Yarrowia lipolytica: one gene and its partner. The protein of the gene in region 2 purifies or fractionates together with the protein of the main gene of each other region. This does not show direct contact. Links are inferred from orthologs where the notes say so. Each region holds a gene or a part of one and is shown on either strand. Other genes may lie near its edges.

Region 1 (3,440 bases), on a different chromosome or scaffold from region 2:
TATGAGAGTCAAATGAGGCGAAATAGTACACAAGTACAAGATCTGTGGTCGCCAAACGCACGAAAATATGTTTTTTCCCTCGTCTTTTTCACTTTTGCACTTTTTTTCAGCTTCTTCTACACTACTCCATCCACTCGGTACCACATCTCAGATGACCAATACCAACTCTACCCAGCTTGGATCAACATTGCCTTGTGGGGTGAACGAGAAATGACGGAGGTGATAAATACCGGCGAAAAAGTGAACAGATCGGGCTGTAAATCGAAAAAAGGGATTTAAATACATCATATAATCGTTTCATACATTTTTCAGTTCTCTTGGGCGTCTTCCCTCAAAGAAGTTTGCGTAAACGTATGTACATACTATACTTGTTGGCTTACTTCAGACAGCACAATCAAAAAACAGCTTTTCTTTACCCTATAAACGAGAAAGAGAGCATAAATAATACAAAATACGTCAGTGGCTGTACTGATCACAGTAGATACATCAACACCCCGTCCCAGTCCTACATCTCTTTATGAATACATCATCTATTGGGCAAAAATGGAGAGCCCACCTACTCGAGGCTATTATAACAATCCTCCCTCCTCCCCTCATGGCAAATGCATCACTCCTTCTTCTTGTCCTTGTCTCCCTCCTTGGTCTCCTCCTTATCCTCCTCCTCCTTGAGGTTCTCCTTGTTCTCGATCTTGTTCTCGATCAGGTTGTGGAAGGCAATGATGGCTCGGACCAGAGTGGAGAGGTAGACAATCATGAGCTCGTCGTTGGACTTGACAGCAAAGGCCTTGGCCCGCTCGTCAGTGGTCTTAGCAGCGTCGGTGAGAGAGTCGTCAGAAGACGAAACAGAAACGTTGGGCAGCAGGTTGAACACATCCTGCAGCTTACCAAGAATCACATGGTTCAGAGGCAACTGGCCCTCGACCACCTTTTGCAGGTAGTTTGCAATCTCGTGAAGCCGTTTGTGGAGCGATTGCAGGGACATAAGCTGGTTGGTGATTCGCACAGACAGGTTGCCGGCCGCGGCGTCTCGCACATCTCGCAGCAGATGCTCCACACCAATCTCCTCGGCCTCCTCGGCCTCAATGGACGACGGCACGTGCACAAACGTTCTGTCGGTGGCGCTGCCGTCGTCCTTAATGTCCTCAATGGCAAAGTAGGCATCGGTGGGGACACCCACTTCCTGAGGCTGGATGTCGACAATCAGTAGCAGGGGGTTGGGGGTGTATCGCTTGAAGAGCTCGTTGATCTGGAGATCGGAGGCTCGCAGATTGGGACCCGAGTGGTACCATCCAATGAGCTTTTCCTTGGCGTTGATCTTCTTGAACATGTCGCCCATGTTCTCCACAAAGTTGTGGTCCAGAAACCACACGTCGGGCTGCTTGTCGTCTTCCTCAAAGGGAATGGCGTACGAGTTGGTGACTCGGATCGTGTTGCCGGTGTTGTCGCCCAGAAGCACGCCGACCACCCGCTTTTTTGTGTTCATGGCGATTCGGTTGTAATGGTCCACTACCGAAAGCAGCACCAGGGGGGCGACCGTCACTTGCTCGTAGGGCAATGACGACACCAGAGTCGTGGGGACTGCTGGTGCCGATCCGTTCTGCGCGGGTTCTACTGTCGTCATTTCTGTGTTGAGAGATGGGATGTGATGAGGTTGATGTGATGTGGTGATAATAGAGAGTGGTGATGCACGCACCAGATAGAGTTAGTTGCCACCTGGATGGTGGTAGTTGAGATAGGATAAAGGAGCGAAAGAGGGGAAAATAAGAGGTGTCAAATGAGTGGAGAGTGTGTGATTTAGTGGCCCAGGTCGTCTGTTGCGATGGATGTGTCGTGATGGGTCATAATTACTAAGCTCTGAATGAAAGGTGATGTCAAGTATAAGCCAAGTATATTAAAAACAAGTCAAGTAAACTCAACTAACGCCACCATGAGGGTAGTGAACAGTGATGGGAACTTGTAAAGTAGCGGTCAATGTAAAAGTTATATTAATCGAAAGAGAACTTATGGGGGAGTTGATTTACCCACAATATGGACAAAAACACTCTCCATATGAACAAAATATCGATGTCCCTAACAGCTCATTTGTCTTCTCTAATTACCACCAGTACAGTATGTACAGTATGCACTAAAGTAGCAAAAACTAGCTCTGTAAAATACTGCGTTGGGACTGTACGCAGAGTGTTCTCATACCTCCATCTGTGGGCTGATAAGATAGTCTTCAAAGTACGCTTCCCGATATCGGATTTGACCAGAAATAAGTTCAAAATAATCACCTTGTCGATGTCTCCTCTGTCTTGTCTTTCCAACCTCATTTTCCCTTCGCCACCTTTCGATAACTACTCTCCACTGCACGCCGCCTTACCGCAACCTGCATGAAACTTACTGCCAGAATTATTTGTCAAACTAACCAACACCACACACAACATGTTCGGACAGCTGATTATCGGACCGCCAGGGTCGGGAAAATCGACCTACGCCTATGGAATGTACCAGTTTCTCAATGCCATTGGTCGCAAAGTCTCAGTGATCAATATGGATCCTGCCAACGACCATGTCCAGTATCCGTGCGCTTTGGACATTCGAGACTTTGTGCAGCTGGAGGATGTCATGACGGAACAGAACCTGGGACCCAATGGAGGCATCATGTATGCTTTGGAGGAGGTGGAGACGGATGTGGACGGGTTTGTTAACAAGATCAAGGAGCTGGGAGACAATGAGTACCTGCTGTTCGACTGTCCCGGCCAGGTGGAGCTGTTTACACATCATGGCGCGCTGCAGAGGATATTCAAGCGGCTGGAAAAGCAGGAGAAGGCGCGTCTCTGCGTGGTCAACCTCGTCGATTCGCATTACATCACCAAACCATCTCTTTACGTGTCAGTCTTGTTGCTCACTCTGCGATCTATGCTTCAGCTCGATCTGCCCCAGGTGAACGTGCTGAGCAAGATCGACTTGATCCACCGCTATGGAACGCTCGACTTCAACCTCGACTATTACACAGAAGTGCAGGATTTGCACCACTTGTTCCCTCTGCTGGAAAAGGAGGCAGGAATGACCAAGTATGCCAAGCTGACGGAGGCTATTGCAGAGGTAGTTGAAGACTTCGGTCTGGTAGCCTACGAGGTGCTGGCGGTGGAGGACAAAAAGAGCATGATCCAGCTGCTCACAACTATAGATAAGGCGACAGGCTACTTGTTTGGAAGTACCGAGGTCGGCGGAGACTCGTTCTGGGCGGAAGCAACTCGACAGGGAGGATATGTGGGTGGAGTTTCTGATATCCAGGAACGGTGGATCGATTACAAGGACGAATACGATGAGGAAGCGCGAAAGGAGCACGAAGAGAAGCTCAAGGAGGCAGAAGAGGCCACTAGACCTTTGACTGCGGACGAAGAGTGGGAGCAGGCTCTACAGGATTATGAAGAGGGTATGGGAGGTCCTGCTAT
Region 2 (3,495 bases):
GTTGGTGATGAGTTTAAATTTCACATTTCTGCACGCCGTCATACACCGATGGGTAATCACACGACAGTGATAGGAGGGGGAGGGGAGAGGATTGGAGGTAGGATTTAAGTGGAGTTGTTAAAACACCGGGTATGATTAACTGTTCTATATATTGATAACGTGTGTAATATCTCCTATTTCATGGGTGTGAAGTACTTGTACTTGTATCTCTTTGTGAGGAATGACAGAAGTTTAGTTAGACAATGGTTAGACAAATATGAGTGATGGTTTATACTTGTAATTATAGTAATCAGATCAACTGTTGAAGCTCCAAAAAAAGCAATCAATATAAACAGTGCAAGTATCGTAGATAATCCAATTACCCGTCTAAATCATTAGCAATGTATCATTATATAGTTGTTTCTACTGGTGCGCTCAACGCATCTTGTCGCAAATTAAAACATTTACATCATCATTAGGTCTATGACTACATCATCTGACTACATATACACCGGCACCCCCTAATCCCGGCTAGGCTTCTGTTTCTTGGCCTCTGCCTCCTTTTCTTCCTCAATCTCAGCAACGTACTCAGCAATGGTTTCCGTGCTCAGAACCTCGGTAGGGTTGTCGGCAGACAAGATGGCAATCTCAATGTTCTTGGCTCCGGTCTGGACAACCTCCAGCAGACTCTTGATAGCCAGCCGAATGGTGGCGGCTTTGTCCATATCCTCCTCGTAGTTCTTCTCCAGGAAATCTCGTACAGTCTTGGAGCTCTTACCGATGGCGTTGGCTTTCCACGCGTTGTAGATTCCAGAGGGCTCTGTCTGGTACAGCTTGGGCACCTTGTCGTTGGGGTCGAATCCAACAATCAGAGTAGAAATACCGAATGGTCGTACACCACCTGACTGGGTGTATCGCTGCTGAACACCAGCAATGTATCGGGAGATGTACTCGACGGAAACGGGGTCTTCAACTGTGAGTCGGTGAGACTGAGCCTCAACTCGGGCCTTGTCGACGAGGATTCGGGCGTCGGCGTTCAGACCGGCAAAGGCCAGAGACACATGAGTGTCCAACTTGCAGATCTTGGAGGGGGTGATTCGAGGGTCCTGGAGCTTGAGAGCAGACCGCTTCTCGCATCCCAGAATGACGACATCCTTGCCCTTGACACCGACGGCTGCGGTTCCTCTCTTAACAGCCTCCAAGGCGTACTCCACCTCTGTTGTTAGTATTGTCTCTTGCTGGTTGGGCGTTGGGGTGTCTGTCTATCGCCACCGTCCATCGCCATCCTTACAACAGATGCAAGAATCGCAATGGCAGTAGACGTGGACAGATCCAACGAAACCCAACTATCCTGTCGTACCGACGCTGACGTCGGGGCGAGATTGTGACTGTTGCCACCTCTGTGAACGTTAGTGCCACCTGGATGTCTTGTTCAACTTACGGAAAACGTGTCCGTCGGGACTGTGTTAGTAATCAATCGATAATTGTGTGTGGCACTTTCGTGTGCAAATACTCACCTGAATACTGAAAGTGCTCTGTCGTAGCCGCTCATTGTGATTTGTGTATGTGTGGTGAGGGACTGATGCTGAAGTGGTTGGTGGTGGCGAACTCAATGTGTGATGATACAGCCTGCATACTATTGATTACAGTAATAGTGGACATGATCGTCAACTAAGTTAGAGAGGCAAGGTTCAAGTGTTGGAAGCAGAAAATAGCCACCAGTTCACTTGTACTGTGGAGAGAGTATTCAAGAGAGTAAACAATAAAATGTTTATACTTATTAAAGCAATTCATCTCGGCAGGTCTCATTTATGTATTTAGGTGAATTGTGTAGTTCTGTTACATGGAGCTGTCTGTATACATTTCAGGCGACATTCAATCTCCATCACCTCAATAATTTACAAATAATTATACACTTCGGCTACTGTACACATACCAGTACAATTAATGAATTAATTAATGAATCTAAAGGAATCTAAAGGAATCTAAAGGAATCTAAAGGAATCTAAATAAGAAGCTGAAGGGTTAATAATGTAAGTGATTCACTCTCAAGTGGAATCCTACTTGAGAGTGAAGCTGGTGGTCAGAACAAAGTCTCGCGAACTGTGGCCTACGTAAACCTTGTACTCTCCTCGTTGGACCCGCCAGCTCTGAAGTTTGACATCCCAGACCGCGAGATCTCGCCATTGAACATCGTATAGAATTCCCTGCCGTTCTCCCACCTTGAGCTCGGACCGTTCGAATCCTCGAAGCTGTCTAGGAGCGGTTTTAAGATCGTCGTTATCCTGAGGGAAGGCAATGTACATCTGGGTGACCACTCCAGTATCATAGGGACCATAGTTAGACACGCTGTGGACAATGTAGACTGCAGAGAGCCACAGAGCAGGGTTGCCTCCGACAGCCCCGCCGTTAATGTTGGTACTGTTGGACTGCTCACTGGAGTACCCCTCAGGATAGGGATAATGGGTCTCGTTAGAGAAGATCTCCGAGGTATCGTTCAGGTATGGATAGACGTACTTGTTCAAAGGATCAATGTCACTGGGGAAGACGGACTCATTGGCGTGAGGAGTAAATGCGTTCTTAGGCTTGTTGGGGTTCGAAGGGGCAAAGGGAGTGGGCAAGAACTCAGGAATGCTAGGGAAAGCATACCGGGCTTCGAGATTCTCCACCGTAATGTTAGAGTAAGACAGACCGTAGCCAAATTCAAACCTAGGAGTCACCTGGTTCTCGTCGAACCGTTTGTAGTCCAAAAGAGTACCCTCAGTGAAATAGTCTTGAGGAAGGCCGTCTTCAGGGATCTTAGTAGTAAGAGGAATGTAGTCGGTGTCATTCTTGGCAATAGTGAAAGGGAGTTTTCCTGAAGGGGCGATGTCGCCGAAGAGAATAGAGGCTGCAGCTCTTCCTCCAAAGTCACCAGCGGGTCCAGTGAGAAGCACGGCAGTGACGTTTGGGTTGTCGATCCACTTTTCGAGGTTCACAGGGCCGACAGTGGTAACAACAACGATAGTGTTGGGGTTCTTAGATGCCACAGCCTTGACAACCTCGTCTCCATTGTGCCACAGCGTCAAGTTGTTTCGATCCCCAATGTTGCCGTCAACAATACCAGTACTCTCACCGGAGTCGGAAAGAACAAAGACGACACTGGCGTCGGCAGCAGCTGAAAGGATCTCAACGTTCGACAGGTTACCCCAAGATTGCGTAGTGCCTCCGATGGTGATGTTGTCCTTGGAGGCTCTCTCCTTAATGGCGTCGTAAGGAGATTGATAATCGGTAGGGTAGACGGAACCGGACCCCCATCCCTCAATAAGGGCGCCATCACTACACTGCATATTTTCTCCACAGACAGCTCCAAGTGGGCCGGTTTTAGAACCAATACCGAAAATGTTGAGGTTTCCAATATTGGTAGGGTTCAGAGGAAGAGTCTTCTTCTCATTCTTGAGAAGAACAAGCGCAGCGTTTGCTCCATCAAGAGCAGCCTTGGTAGTGTACTGGTCTCTCACATCAATATGTCGGTTA

The links.
Region 1: the proteins of YALI1_B18811g (region 2) and YALI1_D25216g purify together in Saccharomyces cerevisiae (affinity purification with mass spectrometry; 3 studies listed by BioGRID, with this or other methods). This does not show direct contact. The link is inferred for Yarrowia lipolytica from reciprocal best matches to the Saccharomyces cerevisiae genes PRE6 and RPN8.

Annotation. Positions count from the first base shown.
Region 1 is NC_090773.1:2,519,764-2,523,203, reverse strand, and holds YALI1_D25216g (uncharacterized protein), read right to left. Parts: upstream 1,622-3,440; coding exon 608-1,621; downstream 1-607. Other genes in the region: YALI1_D25208g (uncharacterized protein), read left to right, coding at 2,425-3,440. UniProt on the Saccharomyces cerevisiae protein: Acts as a regulatory subunit of the 26S proteasome which is involved in the ATP-dependent degradation of ubiquitinated proteins.
Region 2 is NC_090771.1:1,879,932-1,883,426, forward strand, and holds YALI1_B18811g (uncharacterized protein), read right to left. Parts: upstream 1,532-3,495; coding exon 1,497-1,531; intron 1,441-1,496; coding exon 1,421-1,440; intron 1,196-1,420; coding exon 501-1,195; downstream 1-500. Other genes in the region: YALI1_B18845g (uncharacterized protein), read right to left, coding at 2,040-3,495. UniProt on the Saccharomyces cerevisiae protein: The proteasome degrades poly-ubiquitinated proteins in the cytoplasm and in the nucleus. It is essential for the regulated turnover of proteins and for the removal of misfolded proteins.